Linked DNA regions of Oreochromis niloticus. The protein of the gene in region 2 binds, or shares a complex with, the protein of the main gene of each other region. Links are inferred from orthologs where the notes say so. Each region holds a gene or a part of one and is shown on either strand. Other genes may lie near its edges.

Evidence for each region. Proteins that work in one complex are often made in the same cells at the same time.
Region 1: the proteins of rnaseh2b (region 2) and rnaseh2c are in contact, whole or in part, in a crystal structure (PDB 3PUF), measured with the Homo sapiens proteins. The link is inferred for Oreochromis niloticus from reciprocal best matches to the Homo sapiens genes RNASEH2B and RNASEH2C. Residues at the interface, in NP_078846.2 of Homo sapiens: Arg14, Gln15, His16, Val17, Phe18, Leu19, Val20, Ser21, Glu22, Leu24, Leu35, Met36, Phe37, Val38, Lys39, Leu52, Glu62, Lys64, Phe66, Glu68, His70, His71, Ser72, Trp73, Phe74, Ile75, Asn76, Gln77, Ser78, Val79; in NP_115569.2 of Homo sapiens: Ile9, His12, Arg13, Val14, His15, Leu16, Ser18, Ala27, Thr28, Leu29, His30, Leu31, Leu32, Pro33, Cys34, Glu35, Val36, Ala37, Val38, Asp39, Gly40, Pro41, Ala42, Pro43, Val44, Gly45, Phe48, Phe63, Val75, Pro77.

The regions. Positions count from the first base shown.
Region 1 is NC_031966.2:20,689,980-20,697,950, reverse strand, and holds the start of rnaseh2c (ribonuclease H2 subunit C), read right to left. Parts: upstream 3,016-7,971; 5' UTR 2,938-3,015; coding exon 2,936-2,937; intron 2,252-2,935; coding exon 2,097-2,251; intron 1,629-2,096; coding exon 1,516-1,628; intron 1,422-1,515; coding exon 1,302-1,421; intron 794-1,301; coding exon 770-793; 3' UTR 1-769. Other genes in the region: seipin, read left to right, coding at 5,834-6,084, 6,161-6,239, 6,588-6,731, 6,842-6,877, 7,429-7,563, 7,714-7,811.
Region 2 is NC_031987.2:21,848,381-21,855,347, reverse strand, and holds the start of rnaseh2b (ribonuclease H2 subunit B), read right to left. Parts: upstream 3,023-6,967; 5' UTR 2,842-3,022; coding exon 2,778-2,841; intron 2,523-2,777; coding exon 2,454-2,522; intron 1-2,453. UniProt on the Homo sapiens protein: Non catalytic subunit of RNase H2, an endonuclease that specifically degrades the RNA of RNA:DNA hybrids. Participates in DNA replication, possibly by mediating the removal of lagging-strand Okazaki fragment RNA primers during DNA replication.

The sequences.
Region 1 (7,971 bases), on a different chromosome or scaffold from region 2:
TTTCTTGATTAGCTAACAGGCTGATTAATTCTCATACCAGTTTTACTTCTGTAATTTGACAGAACAGCATAGAGTCTCAAGTGCTTGAAAAGGAGGCAGCTGGACTTCTTTATGTTCTTCTTGCCTCTCATCCAAGATGCTTCATCAGTTCTGAGACAGCTGATTGACAGTCTTAGTGGGGACTGTATCCTTGGAGGTGGACCTGAGGGTCATTTATGCATTTGCGATGAATAGTTTTCAAGCACTTGAAACTACCATGGCCTGAATGACTGAGAACCACCACAGTACCGAGACACTTGAACACATGCAGTTTTCTGCCTTCTGTTTAAACTTTAAGTTAATGTTAAACACTCTTACATTCTCCACCACCTTAAGTGTATTTGTATGACAGCTGCTGTGTGTCGTTATTACCATACCGTTATCATATCATACTTGCAGTTAATACATATTAGAGGGTTTTATAGTAGCCAGTTTACAGAATCTAAATGTGCCCTTGTGAATAAACAGTGTTGAGTAGAACGTGCCACATGAACATGGTCATTTTTCAGTGAATAAAACATTGCACACTTTGGTCAGTGACTTTTAATTTTCTTTGTTCACTACAAAAAAAAACGTCATTAAAGATATATACAAAGGTTGTGTAACTTATTGCTCTGGAACAGAAACACTTACTGAAAATACTTCTTAAGCCTTCCCATCAGTTATCATGAATAACCAACAAGCAGCACATTTCATATGTAAAATGCTGAGGAGACATCAGGCAGCCTCTTCAGTCTTCTACTGGAGCATGGATCTGTGAAGAGACAAAATATCAGGACAAACCTGCAAATATCTGAAAACATTTCTGTCTGTGTCTTTTGTATTTTCATCAGTTGAATTAAACACGGTTCCTCCACCAAAGAGAATGAGCCTCAACTGAGGTTTTCAGTGCAGTGTAATTTGAGTTTACAAGAAAACATCCAGATTGATTTTCATGAAACCCGGTGAACATGTTCTGAATTGCCACAGAAGGAAATGTAATATAGATCCAGGAAATAACTGGTAATTAACTCAGAATAGCAGCTTCAAGCAACAACTAGCACGACATGCTTAATTTCTTGTAGGATGTGATTAAAGGTGACTGAATGGTATATGACCCTGCTCCAAAATACAGCCAAGGGTATCTCAAGCTTGTTTGGGTCATATTTCACCAAAAAAAATGCAAATTATTTATGTTAAATGTGATAAATATTAATTACTAGGAGACAAAGATTGGTTTGGTCTTGGATTAATGGATCCAAGAGGGAAAAAAAACAACTCACTGCCTCAGCCAAATCAGGCCAATCCATTGCCATCACAATAGTATCGTCTGAATTAGGAGGTGTTTCCAGGTTCCAGTAGGTCATTTTGTCAAATACAGAGGATACTTTCACTGTCCTGTCCTGAAAACACACATAAACACAAGTTACAAAACCCTCATCTACACATCTGATTTTATGAAATAGTGCTTTGACCCACAACTCCAGTGGTGTTTACCTCCTGGTCTGAGCCGGGTTTGTTGATCTCTTTCAGCACCAGCCCCGTGTAGCCCTGTGGACAGCTGATCTTCTGCCCCTTTAACCCACGTCCCCTGAATGACACCGACTTATCTGCAATGTGAAAGGAAAAAACAAAACAAAGCATTGAGGATTCTTGATGTGTGCTGTGTAATGCGTAATTTTCTTTCCTAAAGCACCTACTGATCGCCTCCAGTCTGTCTAAAATGATCCTGTAAGGCTTTAACTCTCATAAGTGTTCGCATACCATCCCACTTTTAAAGTTTTTGAATTGTTTAATTGGTTCTCACTTTTTTTACTATAAAACTAAACTTTCATTACTTACTTAAGTGTTAAACAGCAACTCATTTTAACTAAAAATTCCTGAGAATTATTAAAATCCATTCCACTTTTACCCCCAAAACGAATTAATCATATCAGAAACAGCGAAAAATAGTTTAAAACCAGGATACTGGCAGCTGTTTGCTTTATTTACACATTTAGCGATCTTATATGTCTACATTTTATCTAACCGCTGTGGATTAATCCATATTATCAGATATGAAAAGATTTTGTGTTTACCTTGTTTCTGGTCTTTGGTGGTAGCAGTGAAGTATTGGTTGACCTGTGCTGGCCCATTGTGTTCAATCTCACATGGCATGAGGTGGACTGGAGCTTGCGGTGCCTGTCCCACTGATGATGCACAAAGACGAATAACACTGGAATTACAGGACATCCTGCAGCCAGGAGACAGGAGAAAAAAGAAAGTACATTTTTAGTTTTTAATTTAACCTCAGTCTCTTTTATCAAAGGCAGTTTGTTTACCAGACTAAAAAAAAAAAGGAAAACAAATTGTATGTGTGACAAACTGAGCCACAAAGTTCAGCCTTTAATCTGAATGTTTTTCTGCAATTAAAATAATTTTTCAACTGCAGATGTCACTATAGGTTCACAATAATAGCTTTTTTTGAGCTCTTATGTTTAGCACACCAGTGTACTCAAAAATAAAACAAACAATGAATCATCTGCAATTGATTCAGAACTCATGGTGACTTTAATGTTACTCCACCTGTTTACAGCTTTTTGTGTTGTTCTGCCAGCCTACCTGTCTGACTACCAGTCAACCATAACTGTCTGTCAGACCTTCAGCTATGTAATCCATGCGTCACAGCACAGGATGAAACCTTTTGGTGACCAGCTTTCAGTCTGCCTGAGTATCTGAGAGCAGCCAAAAGTAATACTTATTTTAAAACAATTTTTTTTTTTCTGGCTTTTGGTGATAATACTTATTTGTTGATCTCCATTGTTCATACACAGAATACGACATACTCAAAGTGAGCACATGCATGTTTTCCAAAGAATCCCAGAGAAAAAAAATTAATTCCTATTAAAGACCATACAACATGCTATAAAAGTCTTACATTTATTTGAAAGACATATATCTATACCCTTACGTTTCTGCAGTTTTCCAAACGTGAAACGTTAAACGGGATCTTTTCCGGTAAACAGCAAACACAGCTTCTGATTGGGCAAAACCTTCTTCTTCTACGCTAGAAGTTATTTTGGCGGGTTTTTTCTGCTCAGCCCCAGAATAGCGCCTCCTCCCGGTGAAGCTCGATCACAACGATTTTCTACGGCTTGTAGCTTTTGTGTTTACAATAACACCCTTGAACTGCGATCACACTCACACCTCTAGACATGAGATACTTTGATAAGAGATCTCAATGTTTCATTTAATTATTATTTTAATAGATAGATAGATAGATAGATAGATAGATAGATAGAGATATATATATATGTTAAAATAAGAGACAAAGACAAGACAACACAAAACAGTCTTGAAATGGACTAACAGATAAAGAGGAAGACAGGAGTGTGAGCATGAGAGTGATACAGAGTCTGTTAGAAACATGAATACTAACACTTAACTGAATATCAGAGGCAAAGGAACAAAAGGGGGACCAAGGCATTAAAACAGAAAATACACAGAGGGTGATACAAATAGAAACACTGGGGAGACTATTATCACTACCAGTAATAATGCTATTAAAAAGACATGAAGCAGAACACAAGATAACACAAAACTGAAACAAAAAACCCCTGGGGACGACAACGAAACAAAATAGATCAACAATAAATGATCAGTTCAGCAAACAGTTTGATATGATTATCAGTTTCTGCTGGACATAAAACTAATACACAGTTCAGAATATTAGACCTCATGGAGCGGATTAGATAATGAGTTAGCATTTGTTACACTATGGATTCGAACACTGAATATGGACAAATATGTGAGTTTGTAGGCATTATTTCAAGCAGCATCACTAAATAATCTCACATGTCATAGGACACTTTGGAATGTCTCGTACATTCTGAGTATTTTGATGACGTATGTCGCAGTGTTACTGCAGTCTTGTTCAGTTCTGAGAACTCTGCTACAGTTGGCAGCAGCATCTGTCTTAGTGTGGGATGGACTAAATCCTGTCCAATGTGAGCCCGAGAGCCACTAAGGAGAAGTTTCCTGGGGGAGTTTTGCTCATATTGCATAAAATCTGTGTCAAGCCTCCACTGAGGAGACTTCAGGGAAAGAAGAAGACGTTTCCTAACAGCTCACAATTAGCCAGCACAAGCAAGAGGTGAGTTTTTATAGCAGGACAGATAACTGTTGCAGGCATGTTGCATGGGATCCTTTTTTTTCTTGAATACTTTATCAGGATTCACATGAAGAGAAAGTTTTAACTCCCTTCTTCTTTTATGATTTACAGTGTTGTGTAAAATTCTTGAGCTACCCCTCATTTCTTTATATTTAACTTCCAAGGAGCCAAATGTTCTTTTCTGGAGGTTTTTCAAAGTTTTTCAGTCCAGTCTTTATACCTAACCATTTTCAGAGGAATATTACTTTTTTATTGATCCACTTAACACTGGCATATAAATCATTCAAGCATAAAACACTTTACTTTAAATTGTATTTTTAGACACAACCTACGTAAAAAAAACCAAACACATATTTTGATACCATTTCTTTAGTTAAATCTATAAAAATGTCAAAGATAACAGTTCCATAGACATAAAATAGCATTTTGGGGTTTTTTTGCAACAACAAAGGGATTTTCAAAGAGCTGTTAGCTAAAAGCTTGCCATATCTCGTCATGGTGTGCAGTGTCTCCTTAGAAATTTGAGGAAACTGGACAGGTGGAGGACAAAAGAAGAAATGTCATTCCTAAAAAATAAAACTACAGAGGATCTGAGAGAAAAGCCATTCTTAAGGAACATTGGGAACATGCTGGGGAATGCCAAATTACACAAGAGCTAGACTGAAAAGTGTGTACAGCCATCTGTAAATCACAGTGGAGGCGCTATCATTGTTTGGGCTGCATTTCAGTCAGTGGTTTTGGAGATCTTATCAAAACGGATGAAATTATGAACACAGAAAAATACCATCAGACTTTGATTCACCACTGAATATTATCTGGAAAGAGACTAATTGGCAACGCATAACAATGATCCCAAACACACTGCCAGTGCAGTAAAAGCACACCTGGATAGACAAACACACACACAACTATCAGTGATGGACTGCCTCCCCAGAGCCCGGACATCAACACTGTTGAAGCAGTGTAGGATTGTCTTCACAGAAAATTTCTACAAGCTCTGTGAAAGTTTTATTTGCATTATTTAATGTGTTTCTTTGTATATTTCCAGATGTTTCAGTAAATCATAAGATCTATTTCCCTTTATATCCTTTTATTTAAATATAAACAAATGAGTGGCGGCTCAAGACTTTTGTACTGATTTAGCACTGAAGGTGAAAACTAAACAGCTTAATTTTACAAATATTTCTCGTCTACTGAGGAGTAAACATAAATACCATTACTTCAGCCACATTGATCACAATACACCCCTACTGATGGAAAAATTTGAGTTCTTTTCTTTGTCTTTAGACTCATGTATTACAATCAGTCTGGCAGTTGACTGTTGACACAGTTCGAGTCATCTGATATGAAAGAACTCTGCGTGTGACTGTGATTGGACTCAGCGGTTTTGCAGATCTCGGTAACATGAATGTGAAGGCTTGTGCCGAAACATCATAACATCATCAGCCGCACTGAGGGTCTGGGACTGAATGAAATGCTCAGTGTGTCTGTATTTCAGGAAAATGTGAAGCAGATGACGTCTCAGATAACACTGAAACATTTTCAGACTCACAAATGTGGATCTTAACTTGCTTTAGCTGAGTCCATATGAGTCCTTATTTCCATAAAATAACCTTTATGAATGTGTTTTATTAACCTTCACTGCTTGTTTGGTTTTTAGATTTAATGGAGCGACAAAGCAACTTGCATTCACAAGATGATGCAGAACCATCAGTCCTTATTGGTCGGGCGCTGGTGAAGCTCCAGCACGCTGTATTCATTGCGATGTCACGGGCCCGGCAGAGACTCGTACAGCTCTCAATTGTGTTCTCATTTGTCTTCCTCCTCCTGTGGATCGCTGCATTTCTATACGGGACTTTCTACTACTCTTACATGCCCAAGGCGACTTTTTCTGCACCTGTGAACTACTACTACAGGTGTGTATGTTGAGTCCCATCCAGCTTCTGTTTCTGTGGTCCGTTCTTTCTCATTTATTCATGTTTTAATCTCCAGGACAGACTGTGAATCTCCAGCTTCGTTTTTGTGCTCTTACCCTATGGCCAACATCTCTCTGATCAGAAATAAAAAACATGTAAGTTCATCAGTTTACTCCATGCAGGGGACTTATTAGGCTTTTCTTTATTTTCTTTCGTGTATATAGATGCTAATCCCATAATAAATATGTCCAAAGTCTTCAGAGGAAGAAAGTGGTCCTGAATGGGGAGGGGAGTGGGGAGGAACTAAAAGGGCTTGTTTCAGACAGTGAATTAATTTTAAACAGTGAATCATGCAAAGCCTCACTAGTAGACTCTAAAAATAAAAATATATGGCTGGAAATAAGCATCATTGTTCCCCTATAGACATTCATTCATATTATATATATGTATACATTTATATGCATTCCAAGAATACTGATGTGTTTTTTGTAATGTATATCCAGGTGCTGACATTCGGCCAGCCCTATCGGATGGCTTTGCAGCTGGAGATGCCGGATTCCCCAGCCAATCGGGAGCTGGGGATGTTTATGATTAAAACAACCTGTTTCTCTCAGGATGGAGAGCAAGTGGCCTCCTCTGCTCGCTCTGTAAGCTGCACTCATACTCACTCAGCACCAGCGCATCTACATGCAATCAAATAGTGTACCTTTAACAGCTACTCCAGTGATTCACTGCTGCACTGCTGTGTGTTTCTCAGGGAAAACAACAGCTGTCTGCCTCCAGCTCTCGCTTTGTGAGTACAGTGCTGATGCATGCTAACCCTTTTAATCACACAACCTGCTCAGAGCCAGATCAGAGCTGCTTATGGGAGGTCTTCCACTGTGTCAGGTCATCCCAGTGCTAAGGTTAATGAGATGACAGGACAAAGATGTGACATGACAGCTTAGAAATACATGATGAATATGTGACATCGACCGTTTGATTCAGCACCGGTACTCAAACTCTAAAGCATTAAAAAAAAAAAATTAACAGAAGTAAATTATAAGAGTTTTATTTTAATTGTTTACACATCTCCATAATTTCTAGATGCATGTGTCTAATTTACAAAAAACCCTGGTAAGTTAATCCACAACCACCCTGAACAGCCTATTGGTTCATGGGTGTAGTATAAACTCATGAGCATCTGAGCCTGCATCCGTAATACTTTCTTTAAATTTCATCACTAAAGACTTTTTGCACCGATTTGCACATTTGTAAGAAAGAGCAAAATGAATTCATCCCAGAGTCTGGATAATAATGTGTGCACTGTAAGTGAAAGATATTGTGCTGTGCTGTTGTGGTCAGAGCATACTGCGATACCGCTCAGACCTGCTGAGGACGCTGGGAACGCTGCTGTTCCTCCCGGCCTTTTTGACTGGAGCAGCCGAGCAGAAACAAGTGCTGGAGGTGGAGCTCTTCTCAGACTTCACAGACAACCCAGTGAGTCCTGCATATATAGATGTTAGATAAAAAGGGACTAGGGAGCAATAAGCAGGACAGGGATACAGGGGAACACATGTTAATACGGAAACAGCAGGTCAATATTTAACTGACACCTAATTAACAAGTTTATTTTCCCTCCCTGTTCAGTATGCTCCCTCAGTCACGGCTGTCATCGAGATCATGTCGAGCAAGGTGCAGATATATTCATCTGACCTCTACATTCATGCTCATTTCACTGGCATAAGGTGAGAATTACCCACATAATGCACACATTTGCTTGAAAAAGAAGAACATGTTGTAACGTTTAAACCTCCTCCAGGCCCCTCTGTGTACTCAGATTGCAGGGTTCTAATTACTATTTTAGAAAATTGCTTCGACGCAGAAGGAATCATACCCAGAAGATTA
Region 2 (6,967 bases):
TCAATCTCTCCTTGTTGTATAGCTTAGCTTTTCAAACAGTTTTAAAATAAAGATGCTAACAGAACATTCTTTAAATACTAGGTGCACATCCAAGGTGCAACTACATATATATATAAAACTTTAGTCTGACAAAAGCCTACAGGTTGCGGGACAGGAAGACAAGTCTATCCACTGCTTCAGGCTTTAAAGCGGCCCTGTAGCAAGTCACAATATTACCCCCTGTACTAAATACCCTCTCAGAGGGGCTGCTGGTTGCGGGGATGCACAGGTAGCGCTTTGCCAGGCAGCTAACTCTTGGGAAAAGACGCGCTACTCTGTTTTTTGTCAGACTTCAAATAGCCGAAATACCTCCACACTACAGAACTTCTCTGGCCCTTCCTTTCGACAATCTCTCCGGCATTGGAACCGTCATCTGTGTTGTCTTCGGTAACCTGGTCACCCAAGTTCTCGGTTGATTTTTCTGTAGTCGGCACACTCATTTCCTCCATTACCCAGGCCGGCACGGCGGCTGGCTGCTTCCCAAACAAATACACATGTGCGGCTTGGCACTTGTGCTGTACGTAACAAGTCACGTGATGTGACGCTGCGGCTGTGATTGGTTCGGCTCTGCGCTACTTAATTTGGATTGGCTGTTCTTTTTTTTCTTTTTTTTTTTAAGAGAGGAAGAGAGAGAGAGAGATGAGGTCTATCGCAATAGTTTCATTTTTCTATCGAGAAAAAGTTATTTCGCAATACATATCGTTATCGTTCTATCGCCCAGCTCTAGTGCTACATATGACATATAACAGACAATCAACACAGGACTACATAAAGTGCAATGTGCAAAGATTGCAACAATTGCAAACAAAACAAAGACAGTGCAACACCAGAGAGAACAGAATGACACAGACACAACAAGTGCAACAGAAATGTGCAAAAGACTAAGTATTGTGCAAAAATTAACTTGGTGTATGAAGGGGTGTGTGTGTGTGTGTGTGTGTGTGTGTGTGTCAGTCCAGTCACTGAGTGGAAGGGTTGAAACATTTGACAGCATATAGATGGTTTCTCTACCACAAACATGTCTTTAAATCTTGACTTCTACTATAATCTGACTTACTGATTATATATTCAAGTTAAGTCTTACTATTACTTTCATTTTAGAGCCTCAGCAATTGATTATCAATTAAAAATCAATGAACTGCAACAGAATTAAAAAAAAATAAATAAATCACACATTAGAAAACAAAAAGGCATAATCCATAAGTCAAAACCAACAAGTAACACAACAAGTGTGTAAATATAGACATTACCATGCTAAGTGTTCTGGGTTGGCACAGGTTATGATTTAGTGACATCTTGTTGAATTTTAAAGGAATATTTAAATCAAAAGAAGCAAACAGTGGTCAGATTTTTTTTTTTTTACAAAGCTGCTCAGAGCTGATGTTAACGTTTTCTCCTTTGTTAGTTTAACTGCTCTCAAATCTCTTGCAGCAGCAACGTGTTGATCTCAGAAGTCGGGAAAGAGCATGCAGTGAGGCTGGACGTTATGGTTACACACTATGTTCTGTGATGGTAACACACAGTGAGAACAGAAAGAGTTTAAACTACACCAAACATAACAGGATGTCAATCCAGAGCCACCTACACAAAACTTTAATCTACTGATGTACGTTCTGTGATTAGCATTACATTAGAAACACAGGCTGTAAAGCCCATAATCTGCTGTTATCAATACGTTACAGCCTTCTTCTTCTTAGCATTTGTGCAATATCTTGAAAATTTAAAACATCCTGTCTCAGAGTGATGCTGAAAGATTTGTTTATGCATTTACTGGTTCTAGCCTGAACTCCTGTAATTCATTATCAGGTTGTTCTCAAACCTCCCTGAAAACCCTTCATTTGATCCAAAACAAGAGTATTGACAGGGACTAGAAAGAGAGACTTTTATCTCCCCCACATTCCCTTCTCTTCTTTGGCTCCTTGTTTAATTTAGAATCAAACTTTAAATCTTTTTCCTCTCATACAGGGTCTTAAATAATCAAGCCCCATCTTATCCTAAAGACCTCATAGTACTATATCAACCCAACAGAGTCATCACTTTCAGACTGATGATTTACTTGTGGTTCCTAGGGTATTTAAAAGTAGAATGGGAAGCAGAGCCTTCAGGTTTCTGGTCCCTCTTCTGTGGAACTAGCTTCCAGCTTGGATTTAGGAGACAGACACCCTCTCTACTTGTAAGATTAGGTTCAAAACTTGATAAAGCATACAGTCCAGGATGCCTAGACTAATGGGGGCTTCCCATGATGGATGGATGGATCTCAGCTACATAGTTTCTCAGTGTGCCAGTTTCTCTTATTTCCATTACATTTTATATGATAAAAGTTTAATTTCATCTAAAACTTTACTCACTCGATGATACTGACATGAACACCAAGTTTCATTGCTAGACCAAAGTATATAAAGAAACAATCAGACCTGTTGATGGATTCCTTAGTCTCACAAAAACTGGATCACCGTCGTGCTTGTGTGTGTCGATAGCAGAGTCTGCAGACATCAAAACAGATACCACACATGATAAATCACCACTATTTCTCCTTCTTATTCTTCTCATAATAAATATGCCAAGCTTTAATTTATTATTTTAGCATGTAGTTTAAGACCGGAGCATGGCAGCTGCCATAAAAGCTCACAACACCACCAGCAGTTACATCAGTTATTACACCTATCAACGCATAATAACTGCTTGCAAACTACGCAGTAAGCTAGCTTAGTTAGCTCATACTACGCTCTCTAACCCACCTGGAGCGATGACAACCCAGCTGTCATTATCTACGTTTGACGTTCGCTTCTTTTTAGTAGCCATGTTGTATAGTGTGTTAAGCGCGTAAGTTAACTTTTTTTTTTACTTAAAAACAGTGCTGGCCTACGCAAGAGCGTGCTTACTTTCTGAGTGAAAGCTCAGAAAAGGCGCCTCTCTGCGTTCACTTCCGGTTTGTGTCACACGGGACAAAACATTGCATTGTTTATCCGCAGTGGGCTTATTTTCTGTCCCTTTTTGGGGGAAAGTCTGGTCGTTAAAAAAATTAATGGCTGCCGTGGTGTCAAGAAAAGTTCAAAACAGTGAAACGTAGACTTTTAATTGAACCTTTTACACACCTGCTTTTGTAGTAGTGGTACGTTCCGCGGTGACGTCAACCAGCATGTAAATTCGCGGTAGAGCCGCTAGAGGTCGCCCAACAACTTTTATTAGAATTCCTGTAATAAGATGATATTTGTCTTCCACAGTTTACCTACCAGTTACTTACCTGACGGGCTGTTTCTGAAATTCTCCAGTTTTGAGCCTCTGCTCTCAGGTGCAAGATGTTTGGTGGCCAGTCTGTCCTTTGGCACACTGGCACGTAACAGATTGGGCGATCCATCTGTCCTTCAATAAGAGGAAGGCATCTCTCACGCTCTCTCAGGATATGACAGTGTGTGTCCCAGTTGGTTTTCAGTGAGTCACTTGTTTTGTTTTGATTCTCTGTTTTTTTACACTGTTTGTGAGCATCCTCAGATGGAGATGTGTAGGATGCTAGTGTGTGTTTTCAACCCTCTTATTAGATAACAATAGCTGCGTCATCGATTTGTTTAACTGTTCAGGGGTCCCTGTGATATGTTTATGTAGGGTTTTTTTTTTTTAGCTGTTGATTTCCCTGTCTTCTAAAGACACCCACAGCACAGCCCATTAACAGGTTTTTAATTAGCTTGTTTTGGTAATGAGGAAGGGAGGGATTTGTGTGCTGGGTGACTGAGCTTTTAAAACATCACCGCTCGGCGTCCCTGTGGGAGCAGCATGATGTAGGGGAAAACTTGAGTCTCCACATGGTAACCTATGGGTTTATGTTTTTCCCTGCTTATGCATTTTCGTGCCACCTCTTTGGGCATTCTCTGCTCTTTTGTGTCGTTTTCCTTTTTTGGTCCATTTAAAAATAATGTTGCCTCACGGGCCCATTTGCCCAGATTTGAGCAACACATGCTCTAAAACCCAGTCTCAGCTCCTCCTTGAAATCAGTGAGATTTATGTTGCTGTAGTCTGTGGCAAAGAGAGCGTGGGTGAGATATTGTCTGTGAATTACTTGTTTTATGGGCCCCGGGAGTATCATACACAACAGTCTGTGCAGCTAAACAGAATATTCCATGAAAGCTTTCTTTCATTTTGGGCTGCTTGAGGGAATGTCTGTGTTTCTGACAGCCAGGCAGAACAACAGCGGCCTTTCTGATACTCTGGACCATAGACGACCCCAGAGAGCCGAGTCCTCTGTCACCAGCATGCAGACGAGAACAAAGCGGGGTCTAAATTTAGGCCTCTATATGGCTTTAGACCCAAATTACGAGACCCCACTATCCTCTCCCAAACCCAGCTCCGCAATCCTTATCAATCATGCATCCAACAAAGGGAATTTCAACACACCAAAAGCCGTGTCTGTTCTTTATGTCTCCCCACCTCAAGCGCTACTTCCTCCTCCTCTGTGTAATTCACTTTCAAGCTTGCTATGTCTTCAAAATAATATGATTCCAATAAACTTCGCAGTAGAGGTAGGAGTTTATTGGAGCTAGCAGGCTGTAGATAGTTGGTCACACACTGCTGAGCACATTGAACAGCCTGTGGTCCTAGCTATCGCCGTGGCCTCATTTGGTGGTCCAATGCAGGGCGGCTGGTTACAGCTTACATCGACTCAGCCTCCAGCTTTCATCTCAGCGCCATGTCACCATGTGCTGCACATCACAGAGAGCTTTTTATTCTTTTTTCTTTTTTGGTTTTTTACTCTTTTCATCATCTGTCTGAAGCAGTTATAGAGAGAAAAGAGCCCATTTTAAGAATGTACATATTCACTACAGTGCATTTTTGTCTGTCATGGCTGCCAAGTGAGGTAAGTTATAAATAGCAAGAGAGCGTCACTTAGGGTGTCACTTTTTCTGTACGTAGGCTGTGCCGTTATTTCATGCAGCTGTAACCACTTTGAATCCCCCACCCCCCCATCCTGCCGATCAACACTCAATTTTCAGCTCAGAGATGTAATGTGCACATTGACACACTCTTAACAGACATGCCATGCACACACATGGAAACAGATGTGGGGAGAATTCCCTCTGCAGCACAAGCCTTTGAGTCATCATCTGGGATTCCCTTCCTCTCACTTCCAAATATGGGTGGGATTGTGAGAGAGCGCGAGGAAGAATGTGGAAGGCAGTGGAACCCCCTCGTGATGTCAGAGCTGTGGAACAGTGAGCCTCACGCTGCCTGGAAATTCACCGGAAGGAATGTCGGGAATGTAAGAATCACCGAAATGCTATTCTCTGCTACATCTTAGTAAAACCTGACTTGTAGTAGACATGTCTCGTTTTTACTCCCACACAAACACACACACACTCACATAATGTTGTTGGCCAGTCCGCTCTCTGGAGAGACGTTCTTTCCCGTAAAGTCTTATTCCTCTTCCCCCTACTTGTTTCACAAGATGTGACTCCTTATTCCCAGCATCATTTGCTCTGTGTGAGGCCTCTGGATGAAAGTGGGTTTTTCCTTCTCCCTGTGTGAGAACAAAGTGATGGCTTGAACACTGACTGCTGAGTGCTGTGTGATCTGGAAAGACACTCACATAATAATCACATCCCATGTCATTCATTTGGCATGCAGCTTTTGAACATTTGGTTGTCTCTGAAACTGACAAAAACTGGGGGGGAAAAGGCACCAAATTAGAATGAATCAAAGATTGTTTTCATGATTTAAATAAAGAAATTAGGCACCTGGATAAATTACACTCCTACATCTACTGCACCTTCAAATCTGTGAAATTCAGATTTTCAGAAATTCAGATTAAGTGCAGGAACATCCATTGAGAGTGACAAGTGGACCAGTTCTTATTAAAACGTCTGACATTCTGACAAGAACAAATGAGCAGTGTTTTTTTTTTTTTTAAGTGATAACAGCACAATCAGCCAAGGAGTAGCTTTTTTGATGCAGAAAAGATGTCTTCAAGAAGCCCAACATTTCACCAAGGGATCTGCAACTGAGTAAAGTCAAAGTAAACGAGTCTAAAGTCAGCAAGAGTCTGCATCAATTTGACCTGCATGGAAGGAGTGCCGGAACAGGAACAGACCAGGCCCTTTGGAAAAGCGTGGTCTGGATGGACAAATCAAAGATAGAGCTATCTGGCTAGAGTAACAGTAGACATGTGTGGGACAGCTATTCGTGCATGGTGGTAATGTTATGGTTTGGGGTTGCTTCACTGCCTCAGGGACTGGGCATCTTGCCTCACGTTCCTTCTCTGGTTGCTGCAATATTTTACACCTACGCTGTAATTTCTTAAGTTGATGGAGAGCTAAATTAGGTAGTAAGACTTGATGCGACATGATTTTGCTCAGATGGGTTATAGGCAGACTCCAGCGAGACTAAAGTCTGACTTAGCGAGAAAAGAATTTACCGAAGAAATTAAAACAACTATAATAATAATAATAATAGCAATAGTTTTTGAAATGATATGGCAATGATTTAAAATGGGCTTATACATAACCCCCCCCCACCCTCACACCACCATCCCCAAACATCTTGAAACTGCAGGAATTTAACATGGACTAGTGACCAAATACTAAATCAAGCAGATGTCAGAGAGCGGTGGGCACAACGCCAACAGAAAAAGTCTTTTCTGTGAAAGAGGAGGGGATGCTAACGTGTAAGAGGTTACTTTTTACTTACTTTTTCTACAGAATAATGTTACAGCTGTGGAATTTGTGTAATAAATTGTTATAAAAAGCTTATTTTTCATTGTGGTGTTTATTGTATCAGTGAGGATCAAATATTTGAGAGTGTGTTTGGCTAAATAAACTCACTGTCTTCTTCATTAGGTATACCTGTTCAATTGCTTGTTAAATATCTAACAAGCCAATCACGTTTAAGCATGTAGACATGTCCAGGACGACCTGTTGAAGTTAAAACTGAGCATCAAGAT